Cricetulus griseus: one gene and its partners. The protein of the gene in region 3 interacts with the protein of the main gene of each other region in a biochemical or structural test. Links are inferred from orthologs where the notes say so. Each region holds a gene or a part of one and is shown on either strand. Other genes may lie near its edges. The genes, in order: Map2k7, Mapk8ip1 and Map3k11.

Evidence for each region.
Region 1: of the proteins of Map3k11 (region 3) and Map2k7, one has a biochemical effect on the other in vitro, tested with the Homo sapiens proteins (2 studies listed by BioGRID). The link is inferred for Cricetulus griseus from reciprocal best matches to the Homo sapiens genes MAP3K11 and MAP2K7.
Region 2: the proteins of Map3k11 (region 3) and Mapk8ip1 form a complex in vitro, tested with the Homo sapiens proteins (2 studies listed by BioGRID). The link is inferred for Cricetulus griseus from reciprocal best matches to the Homo sapiens genes MAP3K11 and MAPK8IP1.

The regions. Positions count from the first base shown.
Region 1 is NC_048597.1:89,044,849-89,055,214, reverse strand, and holds the start of Map2k7 (dual specificity mitogen-activated protein kinase kinase 7), read right to left. Parts: upstream 5,047-10,366; 5' UTR 4,970-5,046; coding exon 4,846-4,969; intron 3,137-4,845; coding exon 3,089-3,136; intron 410-3,088; coding exon 268-409; intron 162-267; coding exon 95-161; intron 1-94. Other genes in the region: volume-regulated anion channel subunit LRRC8E, read right to left, coding at 8,219-10,366. UniProt on the Homo sapiens protein: Dual specificity protein kinase which acts as an essential component of the MAP kinase signal transduction pathway. Essential component of the stress-activated protein kinase/c-Jun N-terminal kinase (SAP/JNK) signaling pathway.
Region 2 is NC_048599.1:84,329,722-84,339,867, forward strand, and holds the start of Mapk8ip1 (C-Jun-amino-terminal kinase-interacting protein 1), read left to right. Parts: upstream 1-5,061; coding exon 5,062-5,083; intron 5,084-5,520; coding exon 5,521-5,611; exon of another isoform or gene 5,612-6,037; intron 6,038-9,473; coding exon 9,474-9,926; intron 9,927-10,045; coding exon 10,046-10,146. UniProt on the Homo sapiens protein: The JNK-interacting protein (JIP) group of scaffold proteins selectively mediates JNK signaling by aggregating specific components of the MAPK cascade to form a functional JNK signaling module. Required for JNK activation in response to excitotoxic stress.
Region 3 is NC_048596.1:53,641,505-53,651,119, forward strand, and holds part of Map3k11 (mitogen-activated protein kinase kinase kinase 11), read right to left. Parts: intron 8,037-9,615; coding exon 7,856-8,036; intron 7,693-7,855; coding exon 7,544-7,692; intron 7,457-7,543; coding exon 7,281-7,456; intron 7,178-7,280; coding exon 6,934-7,177; intron 6,435-6,933; coding exon 6,321-6,434; intron 5,550-6,320; coding exon 5,414-5,549; intron 5,320-5,413; coding exon 5,228-5,319; intron 2,072-5,227; coding exon 1,691-2,071; intron 1-1,690. UniProt on the Homo sapiens protein: Activates the JUN N-terminal pathway. Required for serum-stimulated cell proliferation and for mitogen and cytokine activation of MAPK14 (p38), MAPK3 (ERK) and MAPK8 (JNK1) through phosphorylation and activation of MAP2K4/MKK4 and MAP2K7/MKK7.

The DNA of each region.
Region 1 (10,366 bases), on a different chromosome or scaffold from region 3:
GGGTCCCCAGAGGGTCCTCTGCTCCTATCACCCACCACCTCTAGCCTGCCTGGGTCCTGTCACAGCCCCCAGGGTGCCTATGGGGAAGTAGTACCTGGCCCCCGATGGTCAGGTACCCTGTCTGCTTCATGATTTCCTGCAGCTTCTGGTCAATCTCGATGCTGAAGGAAAAAACACGAGCTGATCAGAAGGGTCCCACAGATACCACCCACCTCTCTGGGACCAGCACAAGGAGGGCCCTGTGCTGTCCCTGCTCCACCAGCTTACCTCTCCATACTGCGGGGTGTGAACAAGGTTGATGGGAGCCCCAGCATGTTGCGGGGCCGGGTGGGGGGCGTAGGGTGCTGTGGGGAGCTCTCTGAGGATGGTGAGCGGCTGCCCCCATCGTTGGCCAGTGGCAGCTGCAGGGCTGGCGGGTTAAAAACCAGGGGCATGAAAGGAGTTAGCATCTAGCTAGTCAAAAAGGGGTGGGGGCCCCCATCTTTTCCTCTCTCATGTCCCTTTGGCCAGGCTGGCACAGCCCCCTGCTCTGCTGGCTGGGGCCTCCTTCCCCACCCCCTGGGGCATCTTTAGGGTACCATCTCTGCCCCTCTGATCTAAAAAGAGATGGGATGGGCTGGTGGGAGAGGGGTGGTCTCAGAGGCTGGGGATTTGTCCTCAAGTACATACTGCAGAGAAATGGAGGGACTCTCTGCCAGGAACCCCTGCCCCAGTGCCAGGAAGCAGGCCCGGGGCAACAGTGCTCACATAGGAACCACATGAGGACAGAATGCCCACCAGGACCTGCTTGGAACCTGGTCTGGCCACCAACACTGCACTGTGTACAAACAAGAGCCAATAGCTATGGGACTCTGGCTTCAGGCTGTCTTGCCCAGATTCCACTCCTAGGTCAGGGAGGGCCATCCTCTGGCCAGCTGGCTCATCTGTGCATCTCCCAGCCAGGCCTGCAGAACTGGTGTCAAGGGAGCAGAACCCAGGCTAAGCCTGAGTTCTTGGGAAGAGGAATTGATAGGGATCTAGATGGCAAAGCTCTTCCAGGGGCTAGCTGGGCTGGGCAGGGGGAAGATGCTGGGCCAGGGAGGGGAGCTTGGTACGTCCCAATGGCCTGCATGCGGACGGCTTGGGCATGCTACAGGCAGGCGGCGGGCAGGCAGCAGGCACCCCAGGACTGGCGGGCGGTGTTAGGATGTGGGGGGGACAGAGAAACACAGAAAAAGAGCCAAGACTTGGGACCCAGCTGCCCAGAGGAGGTGCTGCATAGACAGCCAGAGAGGATATGAGACATTAAGAGTAGGTTGCTTGAAGATCTAGGAGTCTCTCTCGCTTAGGGGCAGGGGCTGTGAGTCCCCTGTGGCTTCTGGAAGTATCTCCCCTCCATCAACCTTTCATATTTCAGAGTTTCCAGTGCCCTGGAAGGATTATAGCTAGCTCAGTTTAGGACATCAGCAGACAGCATCCTTCAAACATGACTTCCCAGGTTGTCTGGAGCCTGCCACTTTGTTTTTTAATTTGTTGTTTTTTTCTTTTTTCTTGGGTTTTTCAAGACAGGGTTTCTCTGTGTAGCAGCTATGGCTGTCCTGGAACTCGCTCTGTAGACCTTGCTGGTTCTCGACCTCACAGAGATCTGGCTGTCTCTGCCTCTTGAGTGTTGTGTTAAAAGGCATGCCACTTTCTAACACACCTCTCCACACCCTTAACTTTACTACCTTCTTTCCCCACAGCCAACCTCATGGCTTTTGGTGACTTGGGCCCAGTGATTGCAGAGACAAATGGGCTTTAACTGCTGACATTCAGGTCCTTTTCTAGCCCTCGAGGCTGGGACCCCAGCTGCACCCAGACTCTCTAGGAAGTGTCCACAGTTCACCTCCATGGATACCTGTGATCCTTCTTTACCTGGCACCTCAGCTCTCTGGGGTCCATACCTCTACCATCTCCACACCCTACCAGTCCCCTTACCCTCACAGACCACCAAGCCCTCTTGGGCTGCCTCAGACCCATGGAAATGGCTGCTGGCCCCACTCTCTGAAGCATGGATTTGATGGGGGCTAGAGTGGAAAAGGGGAGAGAAATATACACAGGCCCAGAGAACAGAGGTTAGAGGGGTTTTTGAGCCACACGCAGGCCTGGAGAGTACAGTAAGAATAAGACCACGAGGGAGGAAGAAGTGAGGATGAATGAGTGGGAGACGGTACAACAGATCATAGGGACACATGCTTACTATTCAGACTACCAACCTAACGTGCACACACTCACGTGCACACACACATGTAAACCAAAAACATGGAACACACACACAATGGGGACAGGGCCAGCCCTCCATCCTTCTACACACACACATCCATATATACACACAAGCTGGGAACACACTACCACCAACAGTCTGCTCTCCTCATCTCTGCCAACACAGGTGTTCTTTCTCTTATACACAGGAGACATTGCATACCTAGGAACCAGCATAGCGGAACTGCCCAGCATGGGGTCCTTATATGTGTGTGTTGGGGGCGGGTCTTGCCTCACCCAACCTCCTGGGACACTTTTGTTCAAATCCTGTATCCTCCATGGGCTTTCCCTGAGCAACCCTGTGCAGAGTTCCTCATCCTACTAGACTACTCTACAGGATCAGGAATTTGCTCGGTGTCTAATGATGGACCCCTTATTGCAGCATCAGCCCCACAGGACAGGAACTTGGTCTGTTTTACTTACTGCTATGTTCCTGGCCCTGAGAGCAGATACAGTACACAAGTGATGACACTCATTCACTCCACAACTGACACAACTGAATAGGAACAGTGCACCTGCCTCTACCCACCCTATTCACACACAAGCACCCTTGTGTGCCCACCTATTAGGGGAGCCCATTTCATCCTCCGGGGGTTCGAAGCTGAGCCAAAGAAGAAATGGGAAGGCTGGAGGGCACAGAGAAAGTACAGCCAGACTCACACTGCTGTAGTGAAGGGAGAGGAAGTGACAATGAAGAGACAGAACACACACACACAGCATGAGGTGGGGATGGACAGCATTCTGCAGCAGGGGCAGCGGTTAGGTCAATGTGCAGATATGCAAGCAGCAATGATAAAAAGGCTGGTACCTGCTCGCTGGGACGGGGCAGGAGCAGGGCTTAGAGTGATCACAATAACTGGATGGGGAAAGGAAGAAAGAAAAAAAAAAAAACCACGATAAATCACAACAGAAATAACTGATTTGTTCAACAGAAAAGAAATCAAATCATAATGAAGAGGAGGGGGAGGCGCAAGGCACTGAACTGCAGAGATGGGTAGAAACCGACAGAGATGGGAGGGTGGGAGGAAGGCATGGAGTTGACAGACACAGACACCTGCAGGGGGCTCCTTGGGGCCTGCCAGCCACCAGCCTTACCAGGTCTCACTCTGTTCTAGGGACAGACACCTGTTAGGGTGCCTAGAACCCCATACCCAACCCTGTCTCATCCACTCTGGGGCTGGGGAAGATGGCTATGCAGAGACCAGCAGGGGGCTTCCAAAGCTTGGCCCTGCTTCTTGTCCCAGGCAGAATCCAGGGGAAAGCATCCCGAACTCTGGGTATCCCCAGGCCCTGTAAGAAACTCTCCAGGGAGGAAAACTGACAGACTCAGGCCAGAAGAGGGAAGGATGGAGGGAACCCTGGAGAGGGATTAGGGAAAAGATCAGGCTGTGAAAGTTACCAAGAGACCAGGGAGTGGACAGATTTCTCAGCTATGGGAGGCTGCCTTTCCCCTCTTACCAGGTGACCTACAGACAATTCTAATAATGTACTCCAAAAATTATATAACACAGGAGTATAAAGAAGACATTGTTTGGGATCAAGAGGGATACAAAGAGGGTTGGCAAGGCATGGATCACAGGGTTGGTGAGGAGGGAGAAAAATCAAATTCCCTTCACAGAGAAGACTTGGGGACAGGGGTATCTGGGATACAACAAGGACGCTAACTGTGGTCATGATGATGACAAGCCGGGTGTGCATATAGGAAGAAGGGGGAACAGCTGTTGGTACAGGACCATATGTCAGGGAGGCAGGCCCAGAGAAGGAAGAGGCAGAAGGGAGGTGTGTGTCTGTAGGGTGGGACTAGATACATTCACACTGACCACAGGTGTCTGCAGGACTAGCAGTCACTAGGGCCCAGGAGACAAAAGCTGCCAGGCTGAGGAATGGCTATGTGTTTCCAGAGGGCCATACAGCAACCCTGAGGCTAGCTGGTCACAGAGGTCTGAGGTGCCCCTGTATGAAGGAGGCAGTCAGCTGGGCCCAATGACAAGGCCCCTTCCAGGTTTAGGAAAAGGAGCCATCAGATATGACCACAGAAGTCAAACGGAAACTCCTCTATTCAAAAACTAATTAGATGTAAATGAGGGCTAAGTGACCTGGGTGGGCAGATGGGTATGCATGTGCCTGGACTGTCTGCTAGGGGAGGGGAACCTCTTGACAATCACAGAAGCAGCAGGAGTGGAACCACCGGGTCAAAAGAGATATAACTATTTGTAGGGTTGAAAGACTTGGCTGTGATCTCGGAAGCTTCGGGTCTGAAAGCCTGCTGGGTGCAGGTGACGAGGCACTGGGGGCCGACCACCGGGTGAGGGGACCCAGCGGCTAAACTCCCATGTCCTAGTGATGTGAACCCCAGGGTCTCGGTGTGTGTGGGGAGGAAGTCGCCCTGGAGACTGCCCACCCGACTCCCAGGTCACCGTGACCCTCTCTCTGCAAGCTGACAGCGGTAGGGAATAGAGGGGAGGAGAGCTAGCGCCCCGGAAGCGGGGGCGGGATCTGCCTGGTGGGCGGGGCCTGCCACAGCGCGCCCGCCCCCCCGCCCCCTCCCCACGCCGCCGTGCTTACTGGGCCTGGGCCGCTGGGGGCTGATATCCAGGTTGAGGTCGATCCTCCTCCGGGCCTCGCGGTTCTCCTGCTTCAGCTTGGCTTCCAGGCGGGACAGCTTTTGCTCCAGGGAGGACGCCGCCATCTTCCCCGCCGCCGCTCGCCGCCAGGCCGCCCGTCAGCCCGGGGTAGACAAACACCGCACTGCGCCTGCGCTCCAATGACCCCGCCGAGCCTCCGTCCTGCCCAGCCCAGCCCAGCCCAGCCCAGCCCAGCCCAGCGCGTGCCCGCCCTGCCTCGCGCGGTTAGCGCCGCGCGTGCGCGCTGTGTCCCAGTAGGGAGCGGACGCCACCTAGAGGTCCAGGCTGGCAGTGTGCGTTGTCCTCACCCACAGTTGCCTCCCGCAGTGCGCATGCGCGAACTCCCAGCTTTTCTGGCAGAGGCGCAGTTCGAAAAAGCACGGTTTTTCTTTTCTTTTCTTCCTTTTTTTATGTAGCGGAAGGCGGGCAGGACGGCAGCATACATGCAGAAGGGGAGACCTGCCACGCGCGCGGCCTCTACTGCGCACGCTCACGGCCGTTCCCGGATCCGTGTTCACACAGTACCTCCGTTAACTTCCTGCGGGCTTTTCCCAGCCCTGGCCCTCCCTGGCATCCGCGTACATAGAGCAACCTTCCTCGTCTTGCTCAGCCCTTCATTAGGCCCTGTTATGCTTAATTGCGACCTGACCTCCCACTGTCAACGTGAAGTCGTCTCCTCACCGTAAAAACTAGGCACCCGTGGGAATCCCTTTCCATTCCAGCCGGTACAGAGTAGAGCAAGGCCTGACTGGAGGAGAGGGAATCCAGAGCTGGCGATTCCTGAGCTCCGTTAAGGCCAGACTTCCTGGCCGTGCCTACTTGAGACCTTGAGACGCCCCATCCCCATCTCTTCGCCCTCAGAAGCTGGGCTCAGCTGGGGTTAGATGCCTCTGCCGAGTGTGCTCCTTGCCCGGCTTAAAGAGTTAAGTAAAAGGTGCTAGGGTATCGTCTCTATCTGTAAATCTGGGTGGCTAAGGAGCAGTTTGCCTCTAGGTTTTTAGGGCAAGGAGGAGGCTTGCAATGTACAGGGACATTCAGCAAGTGACCATACCCAGGAGGTTAGGCTGTGCCACCACTCTGAAAGTAACAGTGAACACTTTGGGATGGGCCTTTAAAAAAGGCTTACTCTCTGGCAATGACCTACAAGTGGAGCAGAAACATGCTTGGAGTTAAAAGGATAAAAGGAGGAGGGAGGAGAGGAAATTGGATTCTTTGTTTTGTTTTGGCTATTCGAAACAGAGTTTCTCTGTGTAACCCTGGCCTTCCCGGAACTCGCTCTGTAGACTAGGCTGGCCTCGAACTCAGGTTTGCCTGTCTGAGTGTGGGGATTAGAGGTATGCATCACCATCAACTGACTTTGTGTGTGTAGGGGGGCAGTTATTTAGAAAAAAAAATAGGCAGAAAACTCTATCTAATTTATCTTGATTAGATGAGGTCTCTACATCACCCTCTATTTAAGTACCTGGGATGTCTTTCCTCCCAGGAAAGCCAGCCTGATTTGACAGGTAGGTGTTATTGTTTGGACCTGGCTATAGAAAGCTTAGATAGCCATACTATACAAAGAGGTCAGAATTACAGTTCTCATTTATTAAGCACCCACTGGGATATTCTCCACTGCACAGGAAACATTCAAAAGAAAGTCCCTGCAGGTATTAAGAAAAAAGGTAGCCTCCACCAGCTATCACCCTTAACTTGGAGTCAGCCAGTCTTGACACAAACTGGAATCATCAGAGTAGAAGGAGCCTCAATTGAGACAATGCCTATATAATATCCAGCTGCAAGCCATTTTTCTTTTTAAAGATTTATTATGTATACAACATTCTGCTTTCACGTATGCCTGCACACCAGAAAAGGGCGCCAGATCTCATTATAGATGGTTGTGAACCACCATGTGGTTGCCGGGAATTGAACTCAGGACCTCTGGAAGAGCAGCCTCTTAAGGTTAAGATGGCTTAACCTCTGAGCCATCTCCTCTAGCCCATAAGACATTTTCTTAGTATTTGATGGGGGAGGGCCCAGCCCACTGTGGGTGGTTCCCTCCCTTGGCTGGTGGTCCTGGGTTCTATAAGAAAACAGACTGAGCAAGCCATGTGGAACAAGCCAGTAAGCAGCAATCCTCCATGGCCTCTGCATCAGCTCCTGCCTCCAGGTTCCTGCCCTGTTTAAGTTCCTGCCCTGACTTCCTTCAATGGTAAAGAGTATTGTGGAAATATAAGCTAAATGAACCCTTTCCTCCCCAATTTGCTTTTTGGTCATGGTGTCTCTTCACAGCAATGGAAACCCTAACTAAGACAGTAGTCTAGTGGGGGGGTCTGTGACTGCCTAACTTTGTTTACAGAATTTTTCATGAATATTAAATAAGCATTTTCCCGAGGAAATGCAGTGCTTAGCTTCATGGATTCTCTAAGGCTCTAGAAAAGGAGCTCTGTGTGTGGACATTCCAGTCTCCATTCTTAGTTGTTTTGGAGACAAGTTCTGCTATGTCTTCCAAGCTGGCTTCAACCTTTCAATCCTCCCCACTCCACCTCCAGAGCATTATATAGGCATGTTCCACCACTCCTGGTTTATGAAATGCTTGGGATGGAACCCAGAGCTTCCTACATGCTAAGCAAGCTCTCTCTCAACTTGAGTTACAGTCCCAGCCCAGTCTTTATGTCAACAATTCCATTATCTCAGGACCACCCGAATCAGAATTACCTGGCATACTTATTTAGTAGCAGGTTCCTGGCCCCCACCCAAAAGTTCTGAGTCAGTATTTCAGGGTAGGGTGTGGGATGTTTTATTTTCTTCCTGGCTTCTCAGCTGATTTTATTACATGGTTAAAAGTGAGAATCATTGTTCTAAGTACCCATCTCTGTGGCAAAGGATTTATAAAATAAGGATGTGACATTAAAGTCGGAACTGGTCTCTGTGTCCTCTCCCTAGGAGAGAACCCTAGATGTATGCTGATTTGTCATTGGAGAGGGTTGGAAATCCCATTGGGATATATCCCCCACTCTTGTATGGGACACTAATTTAGCTGGAATGTTCAGAGGAAGGACAAGCCAGCCAGCCAAAGACACAGGTGTGGTTTTGGTCCAAGAATCTAAGACTGAGTTAATCCTTCCCTGTGGGGTTACACCCCAAATCCACCACCTCCTGTTTCTCCCCAGACAAACCAGTCCCAGGATCTTGTCTGAACTGCACAAAACCAACATGTCTGGCCTTCCTTCCTCTCCCACTGGGCCTATTGCACATCTCCGGTGGAAGACAATGCTGGGGCAAAAGCATCTGAAGGCCTCTGTGTCACCCTGCCCCTTCCCTGCCCCTAGGCTTCATTCCTCCTCCATCTTCTCCCGCACCTCTGCAGGCAATCCCTCATACAGGGTGTCCTCCACCAGCAGCCCTGACTTCCTCAGCCCCTTGCAATCACCAAGTTCTTCTGGCAGAGCCTCCAGCCGGTTACCCTTAAGCTCCAGACGACTGAGGGTCCGGAGGGCAGCCACATGGGGTGAAAGCTGAGTTAGGTGGTTGTATCCCAAGAGCAATGTCCGCAGCTTCTGGCAGAAGAACAATTCGTCGGGCAGGCTCTCTAGTGCATTGTAGGAGAGAGCTAGATGCTGGAGGCTCTGGAGAAGGCCCAACTCAGGTGGCAGGGATCGAAGCCCATTGTGGGACACATCCAGCAGGCGGAGGCCAAAGCACTGGCCAAGCTGCGGGGGAAGAGTCTCGAGCTTGTTGTGACTGAGGTAGAGCTGCTCCAGGCCTCGGAGCTTCCTCACGTGCTCAGGGACATAGGCTATCTGGTTGTGCCACAGCCTGAGAGTGACAAGCTTCCGACAGTGCTGAAAGCTGAGGATTTCCTCAATAGACCTAAGGTGGTTGTCCTTGAGGTCCAGTTCCTGCAGAGCCCCTAGACTAAAGATTGCATGGGGGATACGCTCCAGCCCACAGGCTACCAGTTCCAGTTCCCGTAGCACCGCCAGCTTTTTGAGGCTGTTGAGGGCAAGCAAGCGAGCCCCATCATTGTGCAGGCTGAGTCGCTGAAGGTGTCCAGCCACATCAGTCACACTGGCTGGCACTTTCCCTGCATTGCTACGCAGAGACAGTACCTTGAGTTGCTTAAGCTCCCGGAGGCTCTCAAGGGTGGCAGCCCGAGCCATCTCTGGGGGAAAGAGTCCTTCCAGATGCAGTTCCTCCAAGCCTCGAAGCCCAAACACCCAGAGGGGCACCTCTCGGAGCTCCTCAAATTTGACACAGATCACCTTCAGGCGATCCCGCAGGAAGATCTGTGACGAGAAGGGCAGCCTGGCTGGGGAGTGAAGCAAGCTGATCTCCTGAAGGTTCACAAGCTGGGAGAGCCCTGGGGGGAAGGAGATGTCACAGATGGCCTCGAGTCTGAGTGCTTCCACTTCACTGAGCTCAAAGACAGTGTCAGGCAGTCCAGGGAGCATGCAAAGGGCCAGCTCCAGCCGGCCACGTGCGTTGCGCTGCAGCTTCTGCCTCAGCTTCTCAGGTGTCCACTCATGGTTGAGGTTGAGTTGCTTCAGGCGGCTTTCACTGACTTCAGAAAGGAAGACTGCAAACCGTTTAGAGTAGAGGGAGTCGTACTGGTCAATGAGGTGGAGCATGAAGGCGAAGTCATTCTTAACATCCGGGATGTCATTCATGCCCGTCTCCTCACGCACAGAACGGAAGGAGTATTCTTTGAGGGGCCTATGGAAGAGCCAGTAGAGTGTATACAGGCAGGTGATGCCATAGACACACACAAAGGAGATGTAGCAGAAGGCCAGCTTAGAGAAGAGGTGGGCCTTGGTGTGGTTGCAGCAGAAACTGGCGTACCCTGTGACCTCCGAGGTCTCTACTCTGCAGGCCACCAGGAAGCTGATCTTCTCCACATAGACCAGGTTGTAAACCAGGATGGCAAAAAACTTACACACTTTGAGCACCGTCTGCCGGATGTACATAGAGTAGAGGATGTCACCCTCTTCCACGTGCACACGGAACTTCTTGACTTTCTCAAACAGGGCCTTAGCTTGTTCGCCCTCCTTCTTGTCCAGCAGGGTGACGACTGGAGGCTCAGTCACCACCTTTTCTGGCTCTACCAGCACTTTCTCCTTTTCACCTTCACCTGCCTTTCCTGAGCCTGCCCCTGTTGCGGATACTGTGGTCACCACGGCCCGTCCAGCAGCTGGGCCCTTGTGGTTCTCTCCAGACACCTCAGACAAGGCCCGAGTGGTCCATGGGGAATCAAAACACTTGCCCAAGATGGAGATGAAGTGTTCAATCTTGGAGCTGGTGCCAGGGAATTTGAACCAAAAGCTGGTACAGACCATGAAGATGAGAGTATGAATGACCACCAGGTAGGGGAAGTACTTGGCATACCAGTGGAGGGCTGTCTCATAGCAGAGCTGGTTAATAAAGCTATACTGTTGGAGATCTAGGTTGTTTTTAAGGCCACTCAGCTCTCGGAGGCCCCCCAT
Region 2 (10,146 bases), on a different chromosome or scaffold from region 3:
ACATACGGTAAAACATGGGCTTGTTGCATGCAGATGTATGGGGAAAGTGACTTATAAAGCATGTCATGTTAATTTGGGGTCCATCCACAGCAACTTAGGAAAGTAAAACTAATAGCCCACAGTTCCCAGAAAAAATGGTACAGACCCTCAGCTTATGAAAAGAAAGCTGTTTGTTGATGGGCTGTGTGATGAAAGAACATGAAACTTTTTACCGGGGAACCGGAAGAATTGGATTCAGGCAGGATAAAGAGTGCTTTAAACAACAGAAAAAACCCGAAGTTTAATGATGTTGTACAAATTACTTAATCTCTAGGAAGATGGTTGTTGTTTCCAAGATTAAGTGCAGGTGTCAGTCAAGGACATGTGAGAGTGCAGATGCCATTGAGCATCCCTAAATCTAAGCTCCTAGATCCAAAATACTCTGAAATCCAAACTGTTGGAGTGTCAGCTGTGAAGTCTGGACAGATATTCCTGTGCAGAAAACCCTGAACTGTAAAACACCTCTGGTCCAGAGCATGCCAGATAATGGACACTCAGCATATGATGCCAAGCTCCCTACTTGGCTAAAACAGATGGCAGGCACATTTAAGGACATTTTTTTTTATCTCTTAGGGAGCTTGTGGGTTTTGGTCTGGTGGGCCAAAGTTGACTCTTGCAACTCAGCTGTCAGTGCCTCTTCAAGGTGGCGACAGGACAGCGGGGATGGCTGTGTCACTCACTTAGTTAACATACATTACATGTTTCCACACTCAGGATGGGTCCTAGACTCGGAGTATGTTGTGAACTGGACTGGCAGCCCCCACCTCCACCTTGGGTGATACTAGTAGGAGGAGACAGAATGTAAGCAGGGTGTTTTAAAAGGAAAAGGTGCGCTTCCCCTTCTTCCTCTCTTGCTCCTCTCTCTCTCTCTTACCCCTCATCCCCCTCTCTCTCCCTCCCTTCGTCTCTCTGTCTTCTCCCCCTCCCACTCCCTCCACCTGTAATAAACTCTATGGTTAATGAAAAGAAAGAAAAGAAAAGATGTAGCTCATAAGGAGAGAGAAAGGAAGGCTGGGGTGCAAAGGGGCTGCTTACTCATGATCTGTGCTTTAAGAGTCACTGGTGTGGACTGTGTCTGGGACAGGCGGGGCAGGGGTGGTTAGCTTGGAGTATAGATCATGGGAGACACCAGCAGTGTGCAAGCCTCACATCTGGGCCTAGCTCAGAAGTACTGGAGCACAGTACTACTCCCTGCTGGAGTGGGTATTATTGTGATCATTGTCTATACAGTCTGACTAGGCAGAGGGGCCCCTTGAGGGAGTTCTGGGAGAGAAGCCACCTGTGGAACAGAATGGTCAAACTTGCCTCTGGAGGAGACTAAACACTTGATGGGGCCCTACAGAGAACCAGGTAGGCAAGAACCACTTGAGAAACCTGACGCTGATGCCAAGTGATATCGGCTGTGCAGAGGATTTCTTGTGCCTTTCTTGCCCTATAGTATGTTACCTACTGGCATCTCGGAGGCTTTGCTCTATACCTCATTTAGGTGGTTAAGCCAGGCAAAGCTCTTGAAGATGGAAAGGAGCCAGGAAGTCAGAGGATGTGATAGGAGCAGACATCTTTCCAAGACAGACAGTGGGAACATCATGGTTTTGGAAACCCCAAAAGTGCCTCCTATGTATAGGCTAGGGCATCTGGGCCTCAAGACCCTCATCTTTTGTAGTATGTGCTCTAGAGGAACAGAACCTACACAATGTTCATATTTAAAAGGAAGTACTAGATTGTCTTTCTTACACAGTGGGCTAGGCAGTCCAACAGTGGCCATCTGCACACTGAAGAGGCTAAGAACCCAGGAACTGCAGTTTGCAAGGCTGGTTCTGAAGCCAGACAAATTCCTGGAGAGCCACTGGTCTTCAATATGAATTGGAAGGTCAAAGAAGGGTCCCAGTGCCAGTGAAGAAGGGCAGCAGCAGGATAGATGCACCTAGCAGCAGGGAGTGCAGTCAGGCAGACAGAAGCAGACCTCTATGTCTGGACTGCTGCTTGAAGGTGCTGCCCCCTATCCTTCAGTAGTCCTCCTAGGGAATGTCCTCACAGACCTGGTTGGAGGCAGGGCTCTTGGTTGATCCCAAATCCAATCAAGTTGACAACCAAGATTAACCCTTACAGCTGTGAAATGCTTTGTAACTCTTGTCACCTGCCCTACCGCTGGGACACACGTATCAGTATGTCAGGGAGAAAATCAAAACCTTTGTGTGAAAAGTCTAACTGTGAGCGAAGCACACCAGGCAGAGGAGGGCGTGGTGCTACCTTGCATGTGCTTCCGAGTGACTTTGATCACCTGACTGGTGGGGCTGTGGACCCAGTCAGAATTGTGTGGATGGGAAGAAGTGCCCCTTCCGGCCCATCCCCTGTCCATTTTAGTCACATGACATGGGCTGCAGGCCAATGCCTGAGTAATCATTCCCTGCTTTTAGTCTCTTAGCTCTGCTCTATTGGCATTGTAACCCTGCTGTCTCTGGTGCTTGCTGTCTCATGAGCAGTCATTATGAGTTAAATCAGTATGCAAAAAAACATCTCTGGGATCAGTGGGTTCCATGCCTCAAACCCACGCCAACTGAATGTTCTCCATTTAGTTTTTACAATGTTCACTAAACTGAAAAAAGAAAACAGTGAGCTTCCAAATAGCAGTCCTGTCAGCTGGTTCCCGTAACCCCCAGAGCTGCTGACACAGACAAGGTTGCATCAGCCTCCAGTTATGCACCGGCTTCTCTCATTCATCCAGTGATTTTACCGTGGGACAGCGTGTGTGTTTCTTTCCCTTTCCAGCTCTGCACAGCAGTCTAGTGAGAAACCCCTCCATGCACAGAGGGCCATGGCCAAAGAGCCCCTTCCCTCACTGGCCTGTGCCTTGTTAGCACTGAGGTTTCTCTACCTAGAATGTGACTTCCAGAATCCCCATTGTTACTCTGACACTTGTGCAACTGGTCTGTGACAGATGTATCACTGACAGTGTATCCAGTGTGGAGATGGAAGCAGCCCAGCCTTCCCAGAGAGCCTGGCTCTGCATCCCAGGCCTGTGCTCCTGCCTGCAGAATGTTCAGATGTATCTCAGCTCCAATTCTTATCTCCTGACATGGAGGGGGTCATTAGAAAGGAGGCTGAGTGCTTTCCATAAATGATAAATGTTGGTGGAGCTAGGTTTAAATTGAATACATAATATGTACCTGTGTAGGCACATGATAAGCTAGGCTTAGTGATGTATGCCTGCAAGCCTAGCATTCAGAAGACTAAGGAAGGAGTGTCAGCAGTCCAAGGTCCTTAGTTACATAGCAAATTCAATGCCAGCCTGGATGATATGAAATCCTGTCTAGGAAGAGAAGAGAGAAGGGGCAAAATAATTTTTAAAAATCACATAATATGCCATTTTGTTTCACTTAAAATGAATTTAAAATTGGGAGGTGGTGGCAGAGGCAGGAGGATCTCTGTAAATTCAAGACCAGCCTGGTCTACAAGAGCTAGTTCCAGGACAGCCTCCAAAGCCACAGAGAAACTCTGTCTAGGAAAACCAAGAAAAAAAATGAGTTTAAAATTTAAAGATATGCCCATAATTCCATGAACTCCAAGAGTCGAGGACAGAGGAAACAAAATGGAGGTGGCACTGGAGTTTTTGTTTCAGAAGGAAGCTCTTCTCAGCTTTCACAGCAGCAGACAAGCTCTGCTCGGAAACTACTCGAAGTGCCTCTGTAAACACAGGCTGCCTAATGGAAGAGTCCGGCTGCCTACTGCAGCATGTTCTCCAAGAGGAAGGTGGATGGTGCAGTTATACTTGGTTTAAAGGACAAGATCCTGGGAACTGCCCACATGTGTATCCACTTCTGCTCTGCCTTCTGCCCAGCTTCTACAGTCTAGACAGAGTATCACTCTCCAAGTGCAGGTGGCTTCAGTTGGAACTATGGCCTTAAAAGGATTGCCTGAGCTCTGAACACCTGTAGTCCTAGCATCTGAGAGGTAGAAGCAGAAAGATCCAGGAGTCCAAGGCTGCCTCAACTGCATAGATAAAATACCCGAAATGGGATGGAATGTGCTAGAAGGCTAACATTGGATCCATGTCTCTAAATTCATCTGACTTTTACATGTGTTTTCTCTTTTCTAATACCTTCCATTTTAGTTTGTGTAGGTGTTGATCTCTATGCCACTATGTTGAATTTATTCTTTTTAATATCTTGTAAAAGTCTTGGTGAGGAATAATATAAAGTTCACTAACTGGTTAAAAACAAAACGACAGGGCCTGGAGGAGAGATGCTCAGAAAAGCACCGGCTGCTCTTAGAGAGATCCCAAGGTTCAATTCTCAGCACCACATGGCAGCTCAAAACTGTCTGTGACTCCAGCTCCAGAGGTTCCTGGCTGGCTTCTGGGGGCACCAGGTACTCATGTGGTACATAGACATAGATACAGGCAAAATAGTCATACACATAAAATTAGGAGTTTTCGGGGGGGGGGGTTGTTTTTTGTTTTTTAAACCCACAGAGTTTTTGAATCCTGAAGACCTGGGAATTCCTATATTGGCTATTTGTATGGACACTCGTGTCAGTTCAGTTCCTCATTTATGAAAATGGAGGCAAACAGGTTGTCTTGGTCTGTGATTGTCCGTGAGAGCTGCCATAGTAAAGCACCACAGAAACAAATCCTTGGTTCTGGAGTCTGGTTCAAGGTCATAGTCTCTGGTGCTTGCCGAGGTTTTTCCCTCTGTTTTGTCTGGGTCAAAGTTCCTTTTCTATTTTCGATCACCCTAGTCATCTCAGTTTTACCTAAAGAGAGTCATAGGTGCTGGGAGTCAGGACCTGAGCCACATAAACAGGGACATCAATTGTGAACACAAGAGTGTACCTGCGCTGCAGCCACTCCATCAGCCTATTATTACAGGCATCCCAGTAAGTATGATGGGCTAACCTTGTCCTCTGGTATCTGGTGAGGCCATTTCTCTCTCTGCCCCAGATCCAGAATGTTCTAAATCTTTAAAATGAGTCATCATGTGTCCCCATTCCCTTTCTTTTCCCCCACCCCCAACCACTGTAGCCATGTGCCAGGATCCTGTGATTGGTGTGTGGAAGTTTGCCCTGCTGGTTCTAAACCCATTCATTGCCTTATTCTTCAGAACCACTAGAACCAGGCAATTTCTCATGCAGCTACTTTTCCCAGCTCTCCATCTCTGATGCAGTAGCTGTGCTCTGCATGTGTGAGCAAGTACCCTTCAAGGTATCAAGTGATGCCCATGTAGCCCTGTTCTATACTGCCCTCATCCCTGGGTAAGAGGGCATGCAGGGAACAGTTGTCCTGGGTTCAGAGATGCAGTATCCAGCCACCCCCATGGTTGCCCAGCAACAACCTGGCCCTGGGGACTGTGGCCCAAGCAGCATGTTCACTAGGTTGTCCCACTCCCAGTCTGGGAATCCCCAGGGATGCAGCCAGAGGAGCTGGTGCCTGGGCAACTAAGCAGCCTCCTGAGTACCCTCTATGTACATGTTTTTCTCTTTCAGCTGGAGAGCCATCGCTCCATGACACAGCCCGGGTGCCTGAGCTGCCACAGCCTACAGAGAAGCCAGTCACCAACAGACAGAAGGAACGAACGTGTGTGTGCAGAGGAAGGCGTGGTGTGCCATTTGCGTGTGCATGCATCTGTTTACACTCTCATGATCCTGAATGTCAACTGGGCTGGAGGAGTCTCTCGATCATCCCTGTCACTGGGGCTGCTTCCTCACCTCCAGACACAGGACCAGAAGCCACAGCAATGACCTTCAGCCCAAATATGTTTCTGGGAGCCCCCTTCCTTGTCCCAGTAGAACATGGTGGTAGGATCCTAGCTGGAATTCTGGTCTCTGCCTCCCCAGACTCCTCTTCATCCCTCATCTTTTCAGACAGCTGGAAGGCCACATTTTTTTACTCTCGACTAAAGTGTGGGGTTCCAGAGGTAGCCAGAGTCCTGCTGGTTTAGTTCCCATGTTCTGACACTAGAACCTGAGCAGGCTGGAGTAAAGGCTTCCCATTTAAACATAACTGTCCTGTCCAACCTTTTAAAATCCCATGCCATTGGCAGGCTCTTCCCTTGGATGTCTAAGACTGCAGACTGGAGTGTTGTATGCTCAAGTCCTGCCTATGTCAGCCTCAGACAGCATATCTGTCTTTGTAGGACCTTCTAGAAGCCAAGTGAGGACTAGACTCCCAGTCTCCTGTCTCTTCCCTAGCAGCTAGGGCCCAGCCTTGGCCTCCTAGGAGCTGTTGATAGGCCAGGGTCAGAGCTGGTGGAGGAAACCAGGTCCTGTGTGGCTTGAGGGCCCCTGGCTCCTCTGGCCACACTCCCAGGCACATGCTCCAGCAAGTATTGCTGACACCCAGCCAGGCAATCTGGCCAGTCTGTGTCCTGCAGGCTCCCAGGGCCCACCCTGGAGTGATCAGCAACCACACTGCCATGTCAGCTCTTCAGGACTAAGGGGTGGGGCACTGCCTGGGGCAGTTGATGAAAGGTCAAATAGAGATCACAGCTGGCACACCACCCCCTTCCCAGAGAGGCAGTGGAAGGTTTGGCCCAGAGAAGCCAAGCCTTGCTTCCCAGGGGAGCCACCTCTCCCTCCCACTGTTGGGTCATGTGGAGAAAAAAGTTATGAGAAGGATTGTGGGTAACTGAGCAAGTCTTCCTTCCATCCCCGTGGCCTGCACTTGAGCCACAGTGTATTCGTGTGGGGAGAGAGTGTGTGTGTGTGTGTGTGTGTGTGTGTGTGTGTGTGTGTGTGTGTTCCCTGTGTGGATTTTTGTTCTCACATGTAACATTAAGCTGGCCTCTGGGCCTTTTCCTCTCTACCTCCCCTGTGACCTTTCCTAGCCTCAGAGTTGTTAATGCCCTTGGTCCTGGCCTACACTGTATCAGACCAGAACCCTGGGGCCAGGCTCCCCTCTCCTCCAGCTGTCCAGCACATCTGACAGGCTTCTTTTTGAGATGGCCTCAGGTTTTCTCAGCAAAGAGCTGCCTTTAGTCCAACTGTTTATGTCCATCATTCTGACTAGAAACATCTTATGATCATGTGGAGAAATGACACAGGTGATGTGTGTTCAGAGCCCTGGGGTTTGGCCTCCCTGCTCCCCAGCCCCAGGCCAAGAGGAAAGAGCCAAGAGATCTTGCTGGAGGGAAGGTAGAGTGAGCCTGGTCTGAGAGGATCAAAGGCCAGGTCCTGCATCCAGTATTTATTTCATAGCACCTTCAGCTATGGGGACAGTGCCCTTCTTTTTGATGATGGCTCTCTTCCCAAGGTACAAGTTGGCAAGATCACCTGCCCCTCCACCTCCTTGACATGCTGGCCCATTTTCAGGACAGCTTTCCAAGGAATGAAACAGTCCACCCACCCCCAGATCTATGGGATGGAATGGCCGGGAGCCCTGGAGTGGCTTCATGCCTCCTTTTGCCTAGCCTGAGTGGCTTTGAGGGTTGTCTCAGAGCAGTGCCCCATGTCCTGCTGCTGGGACCTAGCATGGGTAAGAGATGGTCGCAGGCAAGAAGCACTTTATAGAGTTCCCTATTGCTGGGAAGGTTGTGTTTCTCCCACAGTTTGTTTGTGAATATTTCCCTGTTTTATAAATGTCTGCCCCTGTCTGAGTAAAGCTGTGTTGTGTAGTCAATCTTGTGGGAGGTTGGGGACCTGGGGCTGCTGAGGTTGAACCTGGGGAAAGCTTCAAGATAGGCCATGTCTGTTCTCTTGGAGTCAAGAGTCTCATTCCCCCTTGGATAGAGGAGGCTGTGGAAGCCACTATAGCAGGCTGGCAGCAGCCCTAGAGCTTGGTTAGAATCAGAGTTAGCTGAAACAATACAGGGCAGGAGACAGTTCCTGAATGTCACCTCACAGTGGCACCAGGCAGCCTACTGAAATCCAGGGCCCTGCATCCATTCTTTATGGTATTCTAAAAATGAATGTGTGCCCCGTGGACACAGTTAAGGAAGCCATACCCAAGCCCCGAAGCCTAGACACTGGCTCTGTCTTGGGCCATCTGGCCAGAGTGCCATGCACATGGGTGTTCCTGGTGGGAGAAGGGCTCAGGCAAAGCCAAAGAAAATCACAGTCTGCTCTAGAGACAGGAGAGGACATTTACTCCAGGACTCATCTCACTCCTGGCTCTGCCTCCAAGTTTCTGCTGGCCTGCTTCCTACCAAGACCAGGGCTGGCCTTGCTCTCTGGGCTTTTCATGTAGTTCTGGCTTGGCTAGTGAAGCTGAGATACCTTTGTTCTTTGGCAGAAGGTTCTAGAAGAGGGAACTGTCTTACATACTCACGCTTCTGCCATCCTGGGGATGCCACCTATCTGCAACAAGCACATATTAGCCATGATAACCAGACAAGTCTGCTTTCCTGGGAAGAAGGAAGGCACCATAACAGCAGATGGTTAGGGTACGGCCTAGTGTGAGAAGCCTGAGCCAAAAGACTGAAAGTTAAAGTGACCAAACCACCTCTTGAAGCATCAATGGCAGGGAGGGGAGAGGCAGCCAAGGCCTCTAGCTCTGGGTTCTAGAATGTCCTCAGGGCTGAAACATGGAGATTGAATATTGCAAGACATGTGCCTGCAGCTTCTTGCTAGGAAGGAAAAGGAGGCAACATTCCCAGTTGTCAATTAAGATTTGCAAGCAGAACTCTACAGGCTGTATGTAGAGCATTTGTCTGCCCTGTTCCATCTCTGTGAAGGGCATAGTCTGGCCAGAGGAGTAGTGAAGGTGTGTGGGAAGCACTCTGACTCACCAAAGCTAGGGCCCTGGCCTTGACAGTCCATGTTGTGTGAGAAAACCTACTACAGGACCAGAAAAAAAAATAAAAACAGCTAAACTCAGAGTGGATGTGGGGAACAGAACCAACAGCCCCCAAAAAGCAGCTCTGGGGGCAAGAGGAAGGTCTGGGCCTTCAGATGGGAGAAGCCAGTTCAGGAGTGCATGGGTGAGAGAGGGAAGACAAGTGCTGGGAAACTGGGCATGGGGGTTGACACAAATCCCCAGGCTTAGCAAGAGACTCAAAAAGATTGTCACCATTCAAAATCAGCCTGGGTTACATAGTAACTTCCAGGACAACCTGAGCCCTTGACAGAGGTGCCCCTTTAGGGAGAGTTCTGGGAGGGGTGAAGGCTAGATCCCAGTGCACAGGTGGGTATTCCCTGCAAGCATTTCTATTTTGTTTCTTCTTCTGCAGTCATGGAGGGATCATACCCCATTTCACAAAATGGGAAAGACAACCCTTAGAGCTGTCAGGTCACCAATACAAGCCCCCACTGCCTGTTTACTTGTGGAACCAAGCTGTGGTCTTAAGCCACCTGGATCCAAAGCTGGCTACTCTTGGACTCTACCACCCTTTCCTTTCTCTGCCTCTTCTGAAACCTCCTTCCCAGTCCCGTTGCTGTGGAGGACCAAAGACCGACTTGGGGATCAGTACCCTGCCATTAGCTACCTGATGCCCTGGATCTAGGTCCCGTTCTCTGGGGCGCAATGCTTTTCGGGTGCCTGTAGAGTCCTGTGGGATGTTGGGGGAGGGTGGGTGCACCCAGGGCCACCGGACCAAAGCGTCAGCACCTCGGAGAGCGCTGGGGGGCGGGGCGGGGGCGGGCCACGAGACCCCAGCCTGCCCGGGGGCGCGCGCAGGGTGCTATCGCAGGGGCCGCAGGCAAAGCGGCGCGCGGTCCGGAGCCGCGCCCGCCCCAGCCGAGTCCGAGCCCCGCGGCGGCGCGGCCTCCTCGCCGCGCCTCCTCCTCCGTCGCCGCCGCCGCCGCCGCCGCTGCCTCCCGCGCCGCGCTCCGCCCGGATGGCCAGGGCTGCGCCCGGGAATGGCGGAGCGAGAGAGCGGCCTGGGCGGGGGCGCTGCGTCCCCGCCGGCCGCCTCCCCATTCCTGGGACTGCACATCGCGTCGCCTCCCAATTTCAGGTGAGGATAGCCGCCGCGCGCGCCCCGCCCTTCGGCTTGGCCTTGAGATCCCCGGGGACCCCTAGGGTGGCTTCACTTCCTGGCCGAGCCCCCAGGCCCTGCAACCCAGGTTGGTCTAGGTTGGTGGCCACTGCGTACTTCCCGTATCTCCCTCCACCATTCCACGTCCTGGGGTGGGGTGCTCGAGGTGGATCTGGGGCAGAGACCTGGGAGGTCGCCT
Region 3 (9,615 bases):
GGACTAGGAGTTGAGGCCAGCCTGGGCTACACAGGGAGACTCTATATATAATCAAACAAAAATATTTCATCTAGCCGGGCGTTGGTGGCGCATGCCTTTAATCCCAGCACTCGGTAGGCAGAGGCAAGTGGATCTCTGTGAGTTTGAGGCCAGCTTGGTCTCCAGAGTGAGTGCCAGGATAGGCTCCAAAGCTACACAGAGAAACCCTGTCTCGAAAAACCAAAAAAAAAAACAAAAAAAAAAAAAAAAAAAAAATCATCTAAAAACTGGGTATAAGAATGTTTGATACAGTTGGGTGGTGGCGCACGCCTTTAATCCTAGCACTTGTGAGGCAGAGGCAGACAGATCTCTGTGAGTTCGAAGCAGCCTGGTCTACAGACAGAGTTCCAGAACAGCTAGGGCGGTTAAACAAAGAAACCCTGTTTCAAAAAAACCAAAACCAAAAAAGAAGAAGAATGTTTGATATGGGGTTGGAGGAGAGATGGCTCAGGGGTTAAGAACATTGGCTGTTCTTCCAAAGGACCCAGGTTCAATTCCCAGCATCCACATGGCAGCTTACCGAACTGTCTGTGTCTCCAGTTCCAGGGGATCAGACACCCTTACACATACATATATGCAGGCAAAACACCGGTCAATGCTCCCAAAAAAATTAATTAAAGGGCTGGAGAGATGGCTCAGAGATTAAGAGCACTGACTGCTCTTCCAGAGGTCCTGAGTTCAATTCCCAGCAACCACATGGTGGCTCACAACCATTTATAATGAGATCTGGTGCCCTCTTCTGGCCTGCAAGCATACAAGCAGGCAGAAAATTGTATACATAATAAATAAAATCTTTTAAAAAAATTAATTTAGCCGGTCGTTGGTGGCGCATGCCTTTAATCCCAGCACTCTGGAGGCAGAGGCAGGCGGATCTCTGCGAGTTCGAGGCCAGCCTGGTCTCCAGAGTGAGTGCCAGGACAGGCTCCAAAGCAACACGGAGAAACCCTGTCTCGAAAAACCAATAAATAAATAAATAAATAAATAAATAAATAAATAAATAAATAATTTAGGGGGCTGGAGAGATGGCTCAGAGGTTAAGAGCTCTGGCTGCTTTTCCAGAGGTCCTGAGTTCAATTCCCAGCAACCACATGGTGGCTCACAGCCATCCATAATGAGATCTTGTGCCCTCTTCTGGTGTGCAGATATACATGGAAGCAGAATGTTGTATACATAATAAATAAATAAAATCTAAAAAAAGTCTAAGAATTTTAATTTAAGAATGCTTGATACAGCTGGGCGCACGCCTTTAATCCCAGCACTCGGGAGGCAGAGGCAGGTGGATCTCTGAGTTCGAGACCAGCCTGGTCTACAAGAGCAACTTCCAGGACAGCCTCCAAAGCCAAGAGAAACCCTGTCTCGAAAACCAAAACCAAACCAAAACAAAAAAAAATGCTTGATACACAGATTATAATTTAATGTAATAACCTCTCTATAGAATGGTTACAGTACTTGGTCCAATTAATCAGTAAGAGTCTGTCACCATTAGGGAGATTTGTATTATTTCACAGCTGAACCTAGAGCTCTACCAGTGGCCCCAGAGCCTAAGGATCTGGTTTGGGTCCCTAGCAGCTATCTGAGATCCTTGGAGTTCCTAACAATTCCTCCCTTTTCAGAGGGTCTTTATCTTGCCCTCTGTCTAAAGGTCACTCACCTCGTGTCTCTTCCCGCCGAGGGCTCTTGGCTGACGGCTGGCCAGAGGGAACACCTAGGTCCAGCAATAAGGGTGTCGGGTTGGGTGGGCCACGGGCATCGGGTGTTGTGGGTGAAAGGCGAATGAGCGGGGTGGAGGGCAGCTCGGCTGGGCTGGGTGAGGGCATCTGTGCAGGGGGTGGTGCTGGTGGGAGCTCCCCACGTTCACGGCTCAGGCCTCCTGGAGGCTGCAGGTCACGTCCGAGACCCAGGGAAGCTAACAGAGCGGTGCCCCGCAGCAGTGCACGTTGGATCAGTTTGGGAGTCCCCGAGCTGTTGCCGCGTTCTGTGGGCCCAGAACGCCGTGGCTCCTCTGGCTCTGGGCTAGGCCGTGGAGGGTTACCTGTGAGCAGCAGTGGCTCAGGTTAGATTGAGGCTAGTACGTCTGCGAGGTGAGAATCCTGGGGACCCCTCAGTGGCCTTGGAACAAGAACTGAGTTCTGCTTCCCACTGCCATCTTCCTGTGCTCTATCTGCAGAGCGGCTCTTGCTGGTCTGCAGAACCTCCCCATCACACACATTTTGTCAAAGGGAAGGGGTCTGGGGGCAGGGGCAACAACCTGGAACAAAGTCTGGAAGCAGCTTTTGTAGAAGATAGCTATCCTCCAAGCACACCAGCCCACTTCCTCAGAGGAGCTGTAACTTTTTGCAAGCGACCCCCTCCAGTCAGGCTTGTTTATGGTCCTCCACAGGAGGGGTCTGGGAGGGCCACTGGACCTTCACCTCACCTTCTCAGGTGCTCTCTCCTGTACCTCCTAGCCAGCTGTCCTGAGAGTCCTTCACATTGCATTGTCATCGAAGCCCTGCCTGCTCTAACCCCTTGTCCTTCCCTCTTTGTGACAGGCACCCAGCTGACTAGTCTGGAGGTCTGGGTGACTAGAGAAAGAAATACAAGGCTAGGGAATGTCAGCTGCTGCTGTGAACAGGATTTAGCTGGGGGTTCTGTAGGCCCAGGAAGTCCTCTTTTTGAAAAAATATTTTATTTGTATGAGTATTTTGGCTGCATGTATGTCTGTGTACTACTGTGCATGCCTGGTGCTTGCAGAGACCAGTAAAGGGCAATGGATTTCCCTGGAACAAAATAGTAATAAAAATGTAAAAAAGAATCTAAAACAAGCAGGAGAAAAATGAAAAGAGGGAAGTGAGAGTGGAGACTGGAACCCAATAGGGTGACTAGAAGTTCCTGAAGTCAGTTCTGAGAAATAGAGGTCCCAGAGTTAAGTGGCTTGTCCAAGGCAACTTGCCTAGGATTTACATTTGCTTCTAAGCTCCTGCTATTTAGGAGAAGACAGCATTAGACACTTGCCCCGGAGTTGAAGGCGAACTTGCTTCCAAGGGGCTTTGGGCTAGTGAGTGTGGCTCCTGGCAATACCCTTTAGGCATTTTTCTGTCAGTGTAGGTTGACTGCAGGCTGCCAAAGAGGAACTCACTGCAACCAGGTTCCCAAGGGCCAGAACCTCCATCTAGGGATCCCTGGTAGTGGCCTACTCACAAGATGCTGAGTGTGGGCCCTCTGTGAGCTAGCTTCCCAGCTGTGGGTGTTTGGAAGGTCAAGTTTATGTACTCTTCTCATAGACCCAGAGGGCAACAAGAGTACAGGCTTGGGTCAGGGAACCACATGCTTAGGCTGGGGTGGTGGTGTCCTCTCATAAAGAGTGACCAGCAGGAGAGGTGTGGGATCTAAGTCTTGTGTCCCTTCCTCTGGGAACTATGGCTAGAGAGCTTGGCAGGACATCACCAAGGATTGATCTGACCTACACCCAGGTTCAGAGGCCCTCAAATTCTCCTTTGGTCCTTCTGGCCTGGTGCATTCTAGAACAAACAAATTCAATCCCCCAGGTCTTCCAGTTTTCAGTTCAACCCTCATATAACAGCCAACTGTGGGCTGTAACTGCTGGAGCAAAATATGTGAGGGCTGGAGAGATGGCTCAGTGATTAAAAGTGCTGATTGCTGCTCTTCCAGAGGACCTAGGTTCAGTTCCCAGCACCCACATGGGGGCTTACAGCCATCTATAACTTCAGTTACAGGGGATCTGATGCCCTTCCCTCTTGTGCTGTTTGCAAGCAATGCATGTACACAGTGTACAAACATACTTCCAGACAAAACATCCAAACATATAAAATAATAAAGTAATAATTAAAACCAGGTGTGGTGGCACAAAGCTCTAATCCCAGCACTTGGGAGGCAGAAGTAGATGGATCTCTGTGAGTTCGAGGCCAGTCTGGTCTACAAAGATAGTTCCAGGACAGTCAAGGCTATTATTACACAGAGAAACTCTGCCTCAAAAAAACCAGAAAAACAAACAAACAAACAAACAAACAAAACAAATAAGTAAATCTTAGTAGAGGGAAGCCGAAGAGCTTGCTTCCAAGGTCAGATGAACCTGGGTTCAAATTCTTGCTCTGCCAGTGCCCTACAGCAAACCATTTAACTTCTCTGTGCCTCAGTTTCCTCCTCTGTAAAAGGGAGCCACTGACCATATCTGCTTAGCAGATAGGAAAAATCCAATAGCTGTTATTATTACAGAAACATGTGGAAGGAGGTGATGGCTACGTCTGTGGGTGCTGAATGGGATGGCCACACAGCTATTGGGCAGTTTGGTGAATAGGGCTCAGTCTCAGAGCCACTGAAATAGGGTCTAAGGTCTACATTCTGCTGTGTGAAGCAGATAGGGCTGGGATTCCTGCGTATGGTCCTAGGTTAGAAGGGGGTCCCATAGACACATCACAACTTTCTTGGCTCTGTGGAGTCTGGACAGTGTTGACCTGAGCTGAGCCGTCTTCCCTCTGGTGCTGGAGCCCCATTTAGCTTCCTAAGTAGTTTGTATAGAAGGAAAACTTCCCAGGAAACCAGCTGAGAATATGGAAGCCACCCACAGCTTCTCTTGGTTAGAGTCCTTAGCTGGGGATCTGAGGTAGCTTACTCCCTCCCCACTTGGAGACTCAACTTTCTTGCATCTAAAATGGGGAGAATAATGGCTCCTTACTCACGGGGTTAGACATGTCTCCCTCACAGTGAGGCCATTTTCATTACGAAGAACAGAAGCCTTGAACTTCCCCAGATGCAAACAAGGCCCCAGATCTTTTCTTGCCTTGTCTTACTATCTTCTTCTCCACCCATGGACTCCCAGAAGGAACTCAAAAGAGCACTGTGGAAGCCATTAGAATGGCTCTACCTTTTCTGGGTACCAAATGGAAGAAACCATTCCCTGCTTCTTGTCTTTGATGGAGCCTGTTGAGGTGCTGCACAGGAGGGCTAGTCTCTAGAAGTCTCTAGAAGCCCCAAGGCCTCAGGTAAGTCTACTTTTAAGGGTCTGGAGGCCAGAACTGGTGACCCAGGCTCTAGGTCTGGTTCTGTCCTGCCTCACCTTTAGTTTCCTAGTCTTGAGTGAGAGCTCTCAAGGCAGAAATCCATCACTTCCTGCTGGCTTCTCACAGTCTATCCAAGTGTCCACAGAAAGAATTAGGCAAGATCGGATAGGGGAGACAAAGTTACTCACCGTTAAGTGTCGGGGGAGTGGAAGGAGATCCTAGTGGGGATGAGTCATCAGAATCCAGGTACCACGTGGCTTCATCCATGCGGGACCTTCTTCTGGAAAGGGAGGGGCAGGGAAGACATGCTTTGTGAGCCTTAGAACACTAAAGAAGAGTATAACAGCAGGGTTGGGGGACACTCAGACACTTACCTCCCATTCTGGGCCTCCCCAGGCTTGGGGGAACTGGGACCCCAGGCCCAGCAAGCACGCTTCTCTCCATTGCTTGAATCTTCTAAACGTCTAGGGGACTGGCGACCCCAAGTCTGGCCTGACTCTGCAGGTTCCACTGTAAGACAACACCATGAGATCTGAGTCCATCCTTGTCTTCCTGCACCATAACAGCCAGGATGGGGGTAGTGGTTTGGGATTTGGTGAGCTAGGTGGGACTGGGCCCTGAGTCAGCAGTGAGGTGGAAGCATGTACTGAGTCCTTCAGCTGACCTTTGCTACTCAGCAGTTAGCAAGTCACCTTCAACTACTTGAGTTTGAATATTTGCTCTGGCACTTATTGGCCATGTGGCAAAGTACTCATTTCAATTTTCTCGTCTATACTTAGTAATCCACTAGAATTACTGAGTTAATATTTGCAAAACATTCAGGAAAATAAAGACTATAAGAACTCCTGGGTGGCGCACACCTTTAATCACAGCACTCCAGAAGCAGAGGCAGGTGGATCTCTGTTGAGTTCAAAGCCAGCCTGGTCTACAGAGTGAGTGCCAGGATAGGCTCCAAAGCTACACAGAGAAACCCTGTCTCGAAAAACAAACAAAAAGGAACCAAGTGTGGTGGTATAGGTCTTTAATCTTGGTACTCAGGTGGATCAAAGTTAAGAATGTCTCAAAAACAAAACAAAAAAAAATCATGATATTATGTAATTATTTGATTGGGGAACAAAGTAAAGTGGGTTTTTTTTGGGGAGGGGGACGGGGAACTTAAAGGTAAAACTCTAGATGAAGAGGCGGGAAGCCTGGAAGCAGGGGAACAGGATATAGGGAGGAAGGTGGATCCACCTCCAGATGGGGAGTTTTAGGGGCTATGGGGAAGGCCAAGTTTCTTACACTGGATTGCTCGGAAGCGAGGGAAAGTGGGCGAGTCCCCAGCCCCAACCTCAAAGACGTTTCTCCTCCGGTCAAGGCCAGGAGAGGCCTGCACAGTGATTCGGTGTTTGAAATCTGGGATTTTGAAAGGAGAGAGCAGGTGTAGGTTTGTGAAGGGGAAGCACTCAAAACCTCAGGGACCCTTGGGAGGCTCCCAGGCCTCTCTGGTAGTGGCAACAATGGCTGTGTGCTTGGCGCTGCTTCGTTGAATTCCTGCCTCGAGGCCTTCAGCAAAGCGAGCCAAGTAGTTGACCCCCTTCACCAGGACTAACTGGTAGATAAGTAGGTTTACGGTGCAGGGAGGCCAGCCCCACCCTCTAGTCCTCAGAACTTTCAGGAGCACCACTGGCAGCCACTAGCAGCCGGACATGCAAATATTCCCATCGCGACCCGCCCACAGGAAAAACACAAAAAACAACCAACTAAAAATAAACCCCTCCCTATTCCAGCCTTCCAGCTGGTCAGGGCACCGATACCTCAAACCAATCCCAAAGCGGCCAGCAGACAAGTTTGACCACACCCCCAGACACCCACAGCCAATAGCAAAGAAGAAGCCCGGAGCCCCGCCTCTTACCCAGGGGCATGCTGATGCGTTCTCCGCCGTCGCGCGCCCTGAGCTTGCTCCGCTTAAAGGTGCCGCGGCGGCGACGCACGTGCGGCCGTTCTCGGTCCACCTGCTGCAGTAGCAGCGTCAGCTCGCGCTCAAACACCTCCAGCTCCCACTGGGCCAGGAGGTGCTCGCGCCGTCGTAGCTGCTCTGCCTGGGACCGCTGCTCGCGTGCCGCGCGAGTCAGCTCCTCCTCGCGGCTCAGTAGTTCCTGTGCTCCGGAAAGTGAAGGAGGTGGGGTTAGCTAAGCATTGATCCAGACAGACCTCCCACCTCATTCTTTGCCCCATCTTGTATCCCTGGGGTCTTCTCACCTTTTCCTTGGCCCGTAGTTCGTCAAAGAGGCCTTGGATCTCGCGTTTCCAGCCTTCCTGCATGGAATGGAAGGAGTCCCGTGGCATCTCTCGTAGGACCTGCGCCTCTAGCGCCTCCAACTGCTGCAGGATGGAGGCGAAGTCGGGCCTGCGGTGAGGGTCCTGTGCCCAGCAGTCTAATGGGGCAGGATAAGAGAGTCTGTGGATGTATGTGTCTGGGGCTAGGGAATTTTCCCCCTCTCCTGCCCAGCTCGTCCTCTTACCGGCCATGAGTTGTGCAAAGGGCTCAGGGCAGGTAGATGGGATGGGTAATGTTAGCTTGTTGACAGCCACACCATAGGCTACTGCGAGACAGTCTATACCACGGTAGGGCACCTCCCCAGTCAACAGTTCCCACAGCAGCACTCCAAAGCTGTGGGGAAGACAAGGGATTTGTGTGTTTTCTTCACTTCAAAGCAAGGAGTAATTAATTAGGTAATTTGGGGTCTTTCTGGCTTCAGCCCATCTGGCCAGTCTTAAGCACCCCTTCTCACCTTCTGTAGCCCCAGATTGTCCAGTCCCAACCCAGGCTGTACCTCCACACATCGCTGCCCTTTGAGAAGGTGGAGGCCTTGATAACCTCAGGAGCCATCCAGGCATAGGTTCCCGCAGCACTCATTTGTGTGGTTTTGTGCCACTCTCTGGCGAGGCCAAAGTCAGTGATCTTTAGGGTCTTTTGCTCCATGTCATCACCTTCAATCGGCTGCAGCAGCAGAACTGGGGAAGAAGAGGGTGTTGAAAAGAGAGGTAATGGGGCTAGGGGAAGAGCATGGTGCATACACACCCAATAGACATCACGACCAGGACCAAGCACACAGAGGATCCGCCTTGAGAAGCTCACAGCTGGTAGTGAGACTTAAGCGATAACTGTGGCACACATTAACTGGCAAGGGATTTCTAAGTTGCTGCTTCTCCTTCTCTGAGTGCTAGAGGCCAAATTTTTACACTTAGTTGTAACTACATAAACAAGCCACACTAAACCAAATGGAACAAACAGGTAGGAATTATTCCCATTTTACAGGTAGGGAAATGTCTTGATCAAGGTCATAGCAACCAGAGATTCCATTCAGCCTGTGGCTCCAAAGCTAATGTAGCGTTTTCCTGACACTGAATGGAATAAAAACTAACGTGGTAGGTTCTCAGGACTGGTGCTCCGCTTTCAAGAAAAACCTGAGCCAGGCACTCAGGAGGTAGAGGCAGGCGGATCGCTTGAGTTTGAGGCCAGCCTGGTCTACAGAATGAGTTCCAGGACAGCCAAGGCTGTTATACAGAGAAATCCTGTCTCAAAAAACAAAAAAACAGAGAGGGAGAGAGAAACCTGTTGAGTGTCTTGCTACTTTGCTGAGGCAAGGTGTGAACTGGAACCTAGGCTGGGGACTAGGACGGACGGACACCCTCAGTGAGCAAGAAGGCCTGCAGGTCCTGGAGCCTACAGTGACTACCACAGCCTCCCACAGCAGGAGACTCCGTAAGATATCTGCAGAGGGTGTGAGGAGAAAGGGAGGAAAGGGAGGAAAGAATTCTTGGTCAGAATTCACAGGGCTGTCTGACTTTGATGGAAGTGCGGCAACCATTCTCAGAACAAGGAGGAGAGGCAGCAACTTAGAAATCTCTTCCCCGGATAAAAACAGCTCAAGCAGCAGTGGTGACACTCGCCTTTAATCCCAGCACTCTAGACGCAGAGAGGCAGGTGCATCTCTCTGAGTTTGAGGCCAGCCTGGTCTACAGAGCGAGTTCCAGCCAGGGCTACACAGAGAAAGTCTGTCTCAAAAAACAAAAGGGGAGAAAGGAGAACCACCACCAAAAAAAAAAAAAAAAAACCAAAACAACAACAACAACAACAAAAAAGCTCAAGTGAGAAGTTTTAGAGCAATAGGAGGACAAAAGTCATGAATCATCAACGGTCTGAACAGTCCATTTGTAGTAAGAAGTGCCATCTATTTTGAACATGTGTCAGATCTCCTGCACAGGACGTTAGGCTTGCAGTGGGGGCATGATAAGTATCAAGAGTGAGGGAGAGGGGAGGGGCACCTATGTGGCCAGGTGAGTCAGGGAGGGCTTCTCGGAGGAGGTGTTGGACCAGGTTTTCATCTCTGAAAGCCTGAATCCAGAACCCATTTCCACTGCTGCCTAAGCCCTCCCCAAACCCTCCATTTCTCAGGCCTCTTCTGTGTGACTGTTTCCTTGCAGCCTCTCCCATTGTTAGCTGCTTCGATTCTGGTGCTTTTCAGAGCTCAGACTCTCCTCACCACCTCTGGGCTGCTCTATCTCTTCCGGGCACCAGCCCCCGCTCCTG